Linked DNA regions of Yarrowia lipolytica. Each later gene encodes a partner of the first gene's protein in a complex. Links are inferred from orthologs where the notes say so. Each region holds a gene or a part of one and is shown in the gene's direction. Other genes may lie near its edges.

Region 1 (9,075 bases):
GAGACCCTCTGACTGGTGCCCTGGTGTCTCGTTCCGACTCAGGGCATGGTTCTTTCTTGTCCACTTGTCAGTTTGACACATATCGAGAAGATCTGGAGGTGCGAAGTGTCACCGTGGAGGCTGTTCTTCAGATCCGATGGAAGCGACACGGTGCCGAACTGCAAGAGTCCTTTGAGTATGACGCCAACCCTCTTCGTCTGACCTTGCCTATTCTGGAACCTCGATGTATCGCCCATCTTCCCAACGGCTCCGTTTCTCGAGGAGAGTCATTCCAGATGGACTACTACATTGAGAATGCGACTGCTCATGTTCTGACCTTCATGATGACTTTGGGAGACGCTACTGCACCAGTGGCTGCCACTGGTATGATTCCTCCCAAGGACACGCCTGCGGATTTCCTATATGACGGTCCCCGCAAGTTTTCCTTGCGTCTACTGCCGTTCTCCCGACGGCTCATTTCAGCCCAACTGGTGCATCAAGAGAACCCCAACGCTGGTCTTGGTCTGACGTGGTTCAAACTGCCCAATATCAAGGTGTACGACCCCGTGTATAGAAAGACGTTGAGTGTATTGTCTGGGGATCGTCAGATTCGGGCTGATGCCAGAACCTATGAGACGTATCTGAGGATGTGAGAACGGAGGAGGGTTTAAGGCTATAGAAATGAATAACGATTGATGATTATGGTGGTGTTTACAAACGGGTTAGAGCGAGTGTACCACAAGTACAAGTGCAAGTGAGTACTTGTACTCAGTAGTCAGGGTGTTATGGCCTCCACTGCTGGGTGCATGCATTATCTATGCTTCTATTCAGAGTAGAGATCAACGTGATTTAGGAGTCCGACAGTATCGAGCATTGAATGGGAGTGATTTTAAACGGTTCGAGAACGCACTTGGGGCTTGCGTTTGTTCAAAGGGAACCATGTAATCTCGTTGGACGATATGTTGTCTTACTGGTTCAGATTTGAAACAGTTGCCAATACACCTGATTCTTATATCTTTTATCTTCTTGAATGATCGGAAGGGCATATCTACCCGACTGGTAAATACAGTATTTGTAAATGGATTATCCGCCGATAGCAATCAGAATAATCACAAGTTCTGAGGCTATGTCTGGACTTGTTGATAAGTCCGAGAATAGATTAAGCAGTTACTTTTTCTGGCTGTCTACAAGTAGACAACTTTGAGCGTTGTTTTCGTATTCGTCCCGAGCTCCTACTCGAAGCTCCACAGTAGCTCGCAAAGCAGGGACTCTAGCCAAGACATCTGAGACAGCGTGTATTACGTGACGGGACCATAAGGCGAGAGCCACTTGGTCTACCAGTATGTAAGCCGCTGCATGGCCCACTCTTGCGATACTACTTGTAGTAGCAACAGTACAACTACTCAGTGAGATGAGCTAATGGAAGAGTACAAGCACGTTAGAGATACGGACAACCATCAGACACGCAATGATGAAGCTGGAAGAACACACACAGCATTACAGGTACAATCCATAAGGTCCCGTATTTCCACTTGTACCCCTGAATATACCATAACCATGGGGTTCTTCCAGCATTCAAATATCGCAGTGCAGCCACGGAAACCGCTTTGGGAAGCCGCGTGCGGCTATTGGCTGTGTAGGTGGGTGTAGACACTGTGTCTCTGGGCCAGTAGAGTATATATAAATTAGCCAAGGTGTATTGCACTGTAACTACAAGCAAGTACAGTAGGTACTTATAGGAGGCATCAGAGCAGATAACAGAGCTGCAGAAACTCGTCGGTTGAGAAGAAAAAAAATCAGAACTTGCGTCACGTGATCCAGATTAAATGTCGCTAAACACGCCGGCCCCCTCCCCCTCTCTCAGGCACGTGTTCTGGTGTCTGTCTGTGATGCACACGTTGCTCAAGGTGGCTTGCTAGAGTTGCAGAGTTGCAGTGATGTGAGTGGTGCCCTTAAAAAAACAAAGTCAACTCCAATACGGAGTCTGTGGAGAAGACAGTTGTAGAGAGACGTGTACTTCCTGTTTAGGTAGTTAAGGCGAATGGTGGTCTGCATTCACGAAGTGGACACTTCCAATAGTTATAGCGCAAAGGGATCATGAAACAATCGTGCCAAAAAGATGCTCCTCCGCGGGCTCCATTTCATTGTCCCCTTTAGACGACACGGCTAGACCTCCCCACATATGGTCTAGCGTTGGCAATCGTCATAGTACATGAGAGGTGTCCAAAGTCTATTGTCGCCTTTTTTTGTGCCCTTTTTTTGCCCTCTTTTGCCCAGATGGTCGAGAGTTTAGGTCGATTAGAGGAGATGGGAAATAGCGGTGGGTGGACCTACAATTCGATTGAACAGAAGCAGAATAGATGGCAAAAAGGCAGTAAACAACTTGCCGGATACAGACGGGTGTTATATGTAGCAATTGGTTTTTCTACTACCGAAAATAGCAGCACATATGCCCAATTGTTCAATCCGCCCTGACCCCACCGCAAGATTTGGAAGTGCAAAGAAGCTGTCGGAAGTGTCGGAAAAAAAGTCAAATTTCGCCCATGCCTCACAGACCTTATATACTCTAGGCCCGCCACAACCAGACGCAATGTTCCGGACCCTATCACTTACAGCTAGAAGCCTTCGATCTAGCCCTCTCAAGTCCCCTCTCTTACTCACCAACACACGCGCCTTCCACGCCTCTATCACAAACATGGGTGTCACAGTTAAGCAGCTCCAGCCCGGCGACGGCAAGACCTACCCCAAGAAGGGAGATGCCGTCACCATCCACTACGTGGGCACTCTGGAGAACGGCCAGAAGTTTGACTCTTCTCGAGATCGAGGCGAGCCCTTCAAGACCACCATTGGTGTCGGCGATGTCATCCGAGGATGGGACGAGGGTGTCCCCAAGCTCTCTCTCGGCGAGCGATCCGTGCTCACCATCTCCGGTGACTACGGCTACGGCGAGCGAGGTTTCCCCGGCCTCATCCCCCCCAACGCCACTCTTGTCTTTGACGTTGAGCTCCTCGGTATCAACTAAATTGGCAGACCATGATGAATGATGGACGACCATCCCCAGTCGTGTCACACTATGTAAAGTAACAGATGTAATTAGCTATGAGGAGTCACGTGACCCAGCGACCTTTGGAGATGGCCAGCAAGTGCCGTTACGGTACCATTAGCTCCAATTGACCACACAGACCCTTCGTTCAACATCCATTGCACTGCCCGGACACCCACCACTGTAAAAACACAGGCTAGACTCCACATGACGTCAACGTGCACCATACTTGTACCAAAACATGCACTCATTTCAAACATTGGCAGCTATTATGGGACCATACTGGCAAGGAGATGCGCTGTAAGATGCGTAGCTGTGGTGCCTGCAACGGGTTTGTTCGTCCGCTCTGTGGGCTATATGCTTGAACCCCGTACCGAGTAATTACACTGCTTAGGCTTAGTAATGTATGAGTACAATGCACTCGCTGGCGTTCGGTAATTTCGTACTGGAACGAGACAGTTACTCCATCTTAATCTGACACCTCCTCGGCTACCGGCACTGTACCAGTACCGCGGAGATTTGACAGGTGTCAGCCCGAGGAAATTAGACAGTCGCTAAGGATGGCTAATTGCTTCTGGCTAGTCGAAAAAATCAAGGGCGTGTGCTACAGTATTTTAGGACCAGCATGTTGTGGTGGTTGGCTTCCGATGTCCTGTGTCATGTATACACGAATGTACACACATACAGTAACCGCAATTACACTACGATTTTGTTTACTTTACCAGTTACGGTAAACATACCAAGTCTCTCTTCGTGAGTAAAAGCAGTAGAAGCTCTTCTGTACCATCCCAACTACTAAAAGTACAGATCTTCTACAGCTAGCCCAGCTATCCAAGCTCATGTTTATGTCATTAGTAAGCATTATATATGGTATCTTGTACTCGTACATTCCTCCCCCCCTTCAATCTCAAACACACCTCATCACTTCTTTCTCCTGGTGCTGCGCCGAGGAGCAGGTTTCTTCACCCCACCAGACGACTTTTTCGGCGTCGGCGTCTCTTCTCGTTCTGTAGCTGTATCTTCGGGTTCCGTTGTCGCCTTCCGTCTCGTCGACCGTCTCGGAGCGGAGGAAGCACGGGTGCTGGGCGACGACTTTTTGTCGCGAACAGTCTTGCCCTTTGAGGTCCCTCGGCCACGAACAGCTGCTGCAGTGGCTGCTCGCGTTCTTCGTTGGCGGCCTGTTTGTGCGTCCGAGTCAGACTGTGATTCCGAACCGGATTCACTCTCCGATTCTCCAGATTCTTCTCCTTCTCCTTCCTCCTCCGATTTTTCAGCTTCCTCGGGCTCTGCACTACCCTCCATGGTGTCGTGCTCTTCTTCTCCTCCGTTCTCCTCCCGTTCCTGCTGCTCTCCCTCCACCTTGATCTTGGTTTCCGCCAGTTTCATCTCCTCGTCGTCCAGTTCATCCAGATCACTGGACTCGTCGTCATCGTCAGCAAGGCCCTTCTTTTCATCCCCAGCTGTGGGTCCGTCTTCCAAGACAGACTGCTCGCGCGACATGGCTGGACTAGACTGTTCACTGGCAACCGCAGTAGCCTGCTCAATCTGCAGAAACCCATAATCGCGGAACGGCAGCACGAACTCCTTCATCTGCGACCGCTTTGCGATCCCTTCAATCGCAGCCTCGTCATCCTCATCCTCGTCCATGTCCGAATCCTGGTTGTCGGCCACGTACTCCAGTTCGTCTAGTCCATCCAGGTCGTACAGAGTGCCCAGCTTGTCCCACACGTCCTGGTGAGAGAACACAGGCGCGTCCTTCGGCGATTCGGAAAAATAGTAGTTCAGCGAAGCCGACAGAGAAATCATGCGGAAATGTTTGTGGATGCCCACGGGCTTGAACTTGCACAGCGAGTTGAACAGCACTGTCTCGCTCTCTATGGACCATGGAGAAGAGTCTGTTCCGGCATCACCTTGTCCGTTACTCTCAACTTCTGCTCCGTCCACTGCTTGTGTCGATGTGTCGTCTGTATCTTCCCTTTTCACCATCCCCGTCTCATCTTCCTCTTTTTTCTTCATGATGCAATGTCGTTAGTATGGTACAGTTGTGATTGTAGATGGTGCTCCGGCTCTACGGTTCGTGTGCTACCTCTCAACCTCCTGCACGTTGACCTTGTGCTTGGTGGTGTAGCGAGTGTTTACATTGTCTGTAGCACTTTCAACTAACTTCCAACTAACCCCCAACTAACATTTACACATCACCAAACTCTCTTAAGATTGGGACTTTTGTCACCTCTCATTTACTCCCACCTACACCTCAGTTACCCTACCGTGCATCTGAGTGAAAAATTCAATCACAAGATATACATCACCACCCCAAAATGCCCCATAAAGCGAAAAACCTCTTCTCTCTGGCTCGAGGTAAGGTGCGAGCCTCATGGAACCCCCGCAACCTGTACAACTTGTACAAGAAGACGGACTTTCTGCGGGATGAAAAGACGCTTTTCCAGAAGAAGTGGGCCTCCAAGCGAGAGCTGCGAGCCTATCATGGAGAACACATTCGAGAGGGTACCTTGACCACTCAGATCCCCAAGAAGCTGCAGGGTGTGGTTCTGCCTCTGGGAGACGACGTGACCTCCGAAGGAATCATGGCTAACCGATTCGACGATCAGATGCTGGAGTTTGATGCCGAGGGCAACAAAAAGCTCAAGACGCCGTTTGCCATGCAGACGTTTGTGCATCTGGAGAAGCGACTGGACTTTGCCGTGTTCCGGTCCATGTTTGCCGCATCCATTCGACAGGCCGGCCAGTTTATTCGACAGGGCAATGTGACTGTCAATGGAGTCAAGATCAAGCATGCCTCCTACACCCTCAAGCCCGGAGATCTCATCTCAGTCAAGCCCGAGAAGGTCCTCTTTGCTGCCGGTAAGGCCAAGCCTTCCGTTGAGGAGGCTGTCAAGATCGACAACCGACAGATCAAAAAGTACAACCAGTACATCAAAAAGTGCAACGATGATCCTGAGAAGATGTGGAACGTGCGTCTCGACAAGATCAAGAAGCGAGAGGCTGGAAAGCTGATGGACCCCAAGACGCAGATGCAGCTTCAGAAGGCCAACGAGGTGGCCTTCCAGGCCATGCTGGCCCGTCTCCGAGAGCTGTGCTCCGCTGCCATCTTCGAGGATCTCATCACTGGCCGAGACGAGTTTCTTAAGACCCAGACTGACGATACCAAGGTTCTGGGTGAGAAGCTACTCAAGCTAATTGACCAGCAGTTCCCTGCCAACGGTGCGGACCCGGTCGCTCCCACTGCTGAGGGTTTCCTAACCCCCGAGGCCGTCATTGAGCTTCTCAACGAGCGATCCACCAAGCTGGCCCAGGAGGCTGAGACAAAGGCTGAGGCCGCGGTAGAGGGCTCTGCTGAGCAAAAGAAGGCCGAGACCGTGCGCTCCAATGCCAATCATCTTATTGAGCAGCGAAACAAGAACATGGCGGGCATCGGCTCCAAGAAGCTGGAGTTTGCTATCCATCCCAAGGACATCAACCACGTCTCGTCCATCGAGAGCCCTCATACGAAGAACATTGTGTCCAGCTGTCTAATTTCGCGAAAAGCCGAGTTTGCCGGAGTCGAGGAGCGAAAGGTGGTCTACGCCGCCCGATGCCTCATCCAGGAAATGAAGACCAACGTGGCTGACTCTATCCACGACAGCTACAATGAGCATCAGCAAAAGCTGCTGAATCCCTCTGTCCAGGACACCGAGGTCAACCCCCGATGGCTGCAGCTGCTAGGACCTCTGCGAGAGAAGATTGATGCTGCCGAAGCCGCTGAAAACGAGGCCGAGGTCGCCCAGGAGTTCCCCTGGCAGAAGAAGCATCTGTACGGCCGACAGGATATCTCTAAGCCCTACTTTACACCCTGGAGATTCCGACCCTTCATTTCTCCTTCGGTTATCTACCCCCACCACATTGAGGTTGACTTCACTACCTGCTCCGCCGTCTACCTGCGAGACCCTGTTGCCCGACCCGGAATGTCGGAGGTCATTTCTCCCTTCCCTCTGATCAACCACGAGTTTGCCAACTTATACTACATTAAGAAGTAGTTTGTATATACTGTATTAGCATTGAAAGCGAAATTTGAATACTGTAGAGACCGGTCTCAACTGTTGTACATACTATAGTATGTACAGTATGTACTTGTATAAAATGTGCAATTACTGTAGCACTACTTGTATTAATATGGATAGATGAATACGGAAAGCATAGTAACGTCAATGTCCATCATATTCGTCTTTATCACATTCCACGACATTCGTAGTATGTACTGTATGTACTTGTGTTGTAACAAATATGATTTCGGAAATACAGTATATATATGACAGTTACTTGTGCCGTACTTTTTGTAGCGATACTGTTGGTATACATACTGTATCCTACATCTTTCGTATCAATGTTATTAAATATTAACCACTGCTGTGATCAACAACAGAGGTGACGAGCTTGCCGTTGACAATCTTGTGGATGAGCTGCTCGGGAACAGGCACTTCCTCATAGTCTCCATCGTCGGTGGGGATGTTGATGTTTAAGGAAGTGGTCTGCGAAGTATACACCTCAGCACCAATGCTCTCCTTGGACAGATAGATCTGTCCTCCGTCACTCTGGTCAATAGTGACCATGGGGGTAACACCAGTCACCTGGATGGCGTAGTCCTTGCATCGAATCACGTCAACTCCAGAAACCAGGTTCTCCACCAGAAGACCAAGCTTCTTACAGTTGTTGAGAGACACAGCCGACACCTTGCCCTTGATCTGCACCGTTGAGTTGTTGCAGTTCTCGATCATGACACCCTGGTTCATCTCGCCCTCGATGACAATGTTCTGGTCGCCCTCGTAGTTCTCAACAAACCATTTCGTGTCAAGCAGCTCGGTCTTGGCGGGTCGCTGCTTGGGGGCAGGGGCAGCAGGAGTGGCCTTAGACAAAGATCCGGGCTTTTTGGGAGGAAGAGGTCGAGCTGCCTTTCCGGAGGCGCCAACAGGGTCCTGTTTTCGCAGATCGGGGTTTTTGTGGGTCATTTCGCTCTTGTCGACCTTTCGCAGACCAGCAGTGACAGCCTCGCCCTTGGACAGGTCAGCAAACACTGCACCCATACCACCAGAAGGAGCAGCAGGAGCAGCAGAGTCTGTCTCGTAGATGCTAGCAGGAGGAGGAGGAGGGGGAGGAGGAGGAGGAGGGCCTCCTCCTGTGGCAGGAGCTCCACCGGGAGCGGGGACAGCAGTGGGAGCAGCGACAGACTTGGATTGAGTCTTTAGAGCCTCCTCAACAGGGATACCTCCAACCTTCCAGGTGGGACCGGTGGTGTGGAACTCCTTGACGTAGGCTTGGAGAGCGTCGGCGATGCCGTTGAAACCCTTGACCCATTCCACATGCTTGGGGTCCACGCTCTTGAAGTCCTTGAGCACCCGGTTGGAGTAGAACTGAGCGGAGTCCTTGAAGTCGCCAATGAGAGGAAGAGGCAGGTCTGAGGCGACCCATCCGACCAGGGGAGCTCCCTCGGCCACGGTGGCCAGATGAGACGACACCTTGGGGTCTCTGGTCTTTTCACGGATGTTCATGATGGACTCCACGTTGGAGGAGATGGGCTTGACAAGCTCAGCAAAGGCGGAAGAGGTGGGTTCAGGCTTCTTGGCGACAGCAGCGACAGCCAAGAAGTCTCGCTGGGCATCGAAGGCCTTCTTGAAAGCCTCGGCCTGCTCGCCAATGGTGGCATCGAGCTGCTTGGAGGTAGCGACAAAGGGGTCAACGTGGGTCTTGATGAGAGCATCAAACTCGGAGATCCACTTGGGCAGGTCGGCATCGGCTGCAGCAGAAGAAGTGGCGGCAGCGGGAGCAGCGGGAGCAGCAGAGGATCGGGAGGGCGCATCAACGCCAGCCTTGGTCGCTGCAGCGTTCTGGGGACCTCGCTCGTCAACATGCGCCTTTTGAGCGGAGGTCAGGTCTTCAAGACGAGACGTGGCGGCTTCGAGACTGGGTTAGTGGGTGACTTGGAGGGTTCATTTCGTGTCAATTGACTCACCGCTTCAAGAGCGTCACGACATTGTAGCCCTGGATGGTCTGAGGGTCTG
Region 2 (4,087 bases), about 760 kb from region 1:
CAAAATGATGTACATATGAAACATTGCAAGTATAAGTACAAGTACGACATAGTCTACTACTTATCCCCTCAGCCCTATATCAGATGGATTCTATACACTATAAACATTTAGGACATGTCGTCAAAGTAGTCCCCTCCTCCCATGGAAAAGAGTCCTCCCGAGCTTCGACTGTGTCTGGAGAAATAGTCGAAATCAATACTAACGGCGGTGGCCAATAGAACAGCTCGCTCATCCAATGTCATGGGTCCCACAACCTTACCGACATCAGGAACGGCCAAAAAGGCCGAAGGGTCCATTCGCAGTACGTAGATACCGGTATCTGTGAAGAACTCTCGTCCCAGACCCACCCAGTTTCGATCCACAGCTCCCATGATAGCCCCTTCCCTGTCACGAGCAGGAAACGCAAAACTCAGGAAGGGAGCGTCAATGTCTGCAAACTGGTCGTACTCGTCATTGCTGTGATGCTGGAATAAGTTGTATTTTCGTCTCCATAAGTGCCATTGTTGCTGTGATTCTCCAATAATGATGCCGTCGCCCTGGCTAGCGGGAAGAATAGCCTTGATCTTGGAGTTAATAAAGGAAAACTTTCGAGAAATGGTCAGCAGATGGTTGCCTGCGTTATCGTAGACGTTGACCTTGAAGGGTCGATGAAGTCTGTACACCTGTCGCATGATAGCCTTGACAAAGCCGAAATCCTCCTCCTCCATGAACCCAAGCTGGTTTCCATTGCCATCCATGATGATGTATTTGTTGGCCTGTTCAAAGCCTAGGATCAGGTTCATCATCTCCATACGACGTTCAACCACCAGAATCGGCTCAGAAAGCATTCTGGTGATGGCATCAGCACCAGTAAGCACTCCGCCAGGGTTGGGTACCTGGTTGTAGTATGCAGGCTGCACCACATTGGGGTTCACGTTTGGATCCTGGGTGTCGACAGGTCTGAATCGTGCTCTCATCCGACGAGCATCGCCTCGAGGAGGATGCTGGAGTCGTAAAGATGACGAAAATGGCCGTAGAAAAGTACACACTGGCTGCCGGGAGCTTATCAAGCCGCTCAAAGGCCGTAACTGTCGCACAAACATGGTTGGACAACGTAGAAGAGAGACTGTTCACGGTGGTAGCAATGTCATACTGGATACATGCAAAAGTATGCACCTAGAGCTTGCATGCGATGGGCTAGTGGAGGTGTACTTTTCCCGGGATTGTGTGTTTCCAAAGAGCAAGAAATACTGGATTCCATTATTTCATGTCTGTGGAGCTAGCTCATAGACCTGGTCTTCTCAGTAGTCATTAATTTGACATCACACACAGACCCTGTCGGTATCCGCCTTGCCTTCAAAACGCCCAGTTGGGAAGACCACTCGGAAGTGTAATTTGGTGCCTGATAGTGTCGAGTCACTGTGATATAGCTACGAGTAGCTACAGTAGTTACTGTATATGGTCATACTAAATAGTACTGTACTTGTACGAAAGCCACAAGTAGGGTAGCTACACTATACAATGCTGTATTGTACTTGTACTAGCACGAGCACGCCTACTGTAACAAAATATAGAGTCGTACCCGCAGTTTTCGTAGACATTTGGAGATTATGTAAGCACACCTTTCGTACTCGTACTCGTACTGTAGACACCTGGGGAAGGGGGGAGGGTGTGATAACCGCACTGGTCGGGTCTCCACAGATGAGTTACAGCAAGGCCTGACAGTTTGACGTTCAGTGACAATAATAGCGACTCCATTACTGTACCTGACCCGCTCTTCCGATCTACTCCTTCCAGACCAACCAGCGATTACGTACATAAGGTACAGAACTCCCAACTGGCTAACACAAATTCTTTTGCTGTGAGACCCGCGCAAGTTTGTACAAGTACGAGAACATTAGGAATGACACAATTGTTGATTTGTAATTAATTCGCAGTCAAATAACTTTTTCTTACACCGCTATAATATCTCCAAAAAAGGCGCTCTACTACGTAATCCCTTGTTGTACATTTATATCTTCCTCGCCCACAGCTCATTCACCAGCCAATTAAGGTTACCGTACAAGGGCCAAAATTTCACTTGGACACATCCAGATCTCCATTTTGCACTCCAGACACCATGTTTCGAAACGTGATTAGCCGAGCCAAAGTGACCCAGATCGGCTCGATCCGATCCATCCACACCCCCGCCAAGCTTTCACGAGAGTCCAAGTACGCCCAGAACGGCCTGGAGGGTCTGTACTCCAAAAACGGCTTCAACACCGCTTGGACCGACTACCAGCGGTTCCTGGTGTCCAAGCTCACTGACCTGACCGTCGACACTCCTCTGCAATCGCGATCCCCTTTTGATATTTTGCGATTCACTGCCGCCGACCGAGATCAGGCTGCTACATTCAACTTTGCCTCTCAAGCCTTCAACAACCACTTTTTCTTCGAGGCTCTGGCCGAGAAGCCCGTGGCCCAGACCACAGCGCCGACAGACTACCTGCGTTCTCGACTGGAGGACAAGTTCGAGTCCATGGAGCGAGCCCGAGAGAACTTTTTGGCTACCGCCGACGAGATGACCGGAAACGGATGGGTCTTCCTCTACGAGGGAGGAGACAAGAACATGTACATTTCGGCTCACCACAACGCAGGATCTCCCTTTTCGTTCCAGCGATTCCAGCATCAAGAATTCAACTTCCCCGCCTCCGAGGAGGTCAAGCGGGACCAGCAAAACATTGAGGCTGCTGTGCGAAAGGGCCTCAAGGAGTCCATCCTGCCTCTGCTGGCCGTCAATGTGTGGCAGCAAGCCTACGTGGACGACTACGGAGTCAACGGCAAGTACAATTACTTGGAGAACTATTGGGAGTGTATTAACTGGGATGTTGTCAACGCTAGACTGTTTGTTGGTGCCCAGTAAGGGATGAATATAAAAAAGGGGGATCTGAATGTATATAGTTGAATGATTTTATCATGTAAGGGATGTCGGCAACAGTACGTCTCCCCACGGTTTTCACGTACTTGTAGTGGCTCACGTAGACACTATCTAGTGCTCTGTATACCTGAATCTGCTCACGTTGTACAACTGTTTGTCCATGTATCAAAAATAGAAAGCATTAATGTTTACTTTAGTGTGTAGCCAGAGGCTCGTGCTGGAGCTCTGCTCATGAGTCTGAAGCTCAGTACAGTATTCTTTTCAGACCCCCCATCTACTCATTAGAAATACCTCACTTCCAGCGTTAGAAACCGAAGTTCTTACGCCATTAGTCATTGTCCCATAGACATCCAATAAATAGCTCACTCTTTCTCATTATTACCTGTTCAGCTCTCCTGCGCCAACAATCAGCTGAACCAAATCCTCGTCCTCACACCAATCGATCCCAGAGGCGGTGATCAGAGCTGTGAAAATCTCTGCCAGAACTCGTCGTTTGTTTTTGGTGTTGTGTAGCTTGGCCTCGAGCTCACTAATAGCCTGGTTGTTTTGATGACGGTCCGCGCTCTTGTCATTGGCCTTCTCAATCGACCGAACTATCGACCGCTGCGTGTCCAGCGAAGCACGGTTCTCGCATATTAATACATCCAGCTGTTTGCGGAGACCAGTGACGACTATCAGGCTGTCAAGAAGGTCACGTGATTTTTCGTCTCGCAGAGCCAGTAGTGGCAGGAGTGACGACTCGTGAAAAGTTGTTTCTCGTCCGTGGTGAATGGCATTGAGAATGCTTGAGGATGCAATGGAGTCGCGTGTGACGCGCCTTTGGACGTTCAAGCGCGTTTCCAGCTCCTTCACGCGACTTTTAAGCGTCTCAATGTTTGCTTCCCTCAAGTCCTCGGGAAGATCACTCACATCTGACTCTTTGACGGCTCGTTCCAGTGCCAGAGACTCGTAAAGATCGAGCTTCTCGAGGATTGTAGCATCGGTCTCGTTTAAAACTCTGTATGTGAGCTTCTCGAGCTGAGGGATACTGGTTTCATGCTTAGAAATGGCAGAAATGGTATCCAACGAACTTTGAGTGAGATTCATGGGTATCTTTAGTTTTTGTCTTCGTTATGGCTAGAGAGTGGTTGCTTGTAAGTGGAGATGATGGAACTACTGTAAATAGGGTTCTGATGGATGGTGCGTGGACTG

The links. The genes of interacting proteins can lie anywhere in the genome.
Region 2: YALI1_B14150g (region 1) and YALI1_B21798g share a complex: the UniProt entries of both Saccharomyces cerevisiae proteins name them as parts of the mitochondrial small ribosomal subunit. The link is inferred for Yarrowia lipolytica from reciprocal best matches to the Saccharomyces cerevisiae genes NAM9 and RSM26.

Annotation. Positions count from the first base shown.
Region 1 is NC_090771.1:1,409,725-1,418,799, forward strand, and holds YALI1_B14150g (mitochondrial 37S ribosomal protein uS4m), read left to right. Parts: upstream 1-5,340; coding exon 5,341-7,056; downstream 7,057-9,075. Other genes in the region: YALI1_B14064g (uncharacterized protein), read left to right, coding at 1-632; YALI1_B14121g (uncharacterized protein), read left to right, coding at 2,429-3,001; YALI1_B14147g (uncharacterized protein), read right to left, coding at 3,944-5,038; YALI1_B14187g (uncharacterized protein), read right to left, coding at 7,417-8,977, 9,027-9,075. UniProt on the Saccharomyces cerevisiae protein: Component of the mitochondrial ribosome (mitoribosome), a dedicated translation machinery responsible for the synthesis of mitochondrial genome-encoded proteins, including at least some of the essential transmembrane subunits of the mitochondrial respiratory chain.
Region 2 is NC_090771.1:2,177,706-2,181,792, forward strand, and holds YALI1_B21798g (mitochondrial 37S ribosomal protein mS42), read left to right. Parts: upstream 1-2,098; coding exon 2,099-2,881; downstream 2,882-4,087. Other genes in the region: YALI1_B21787g (uncharacterized protein), read right to left, coding at 108-1,082; YALI1_B21816g (uncharacterized protein), read right to left, coding at 3,275-3,982. UniProt on the Saccharomyces cerevisiae protein: Component of the mitochondrial ribosome (mitoribosome), a dedicated translation machinery responsible for the synthesis of mitochondrial genome-encoded proteins, including at least some of the essential transmembrane subunits of the mitochondrial respiratory chain.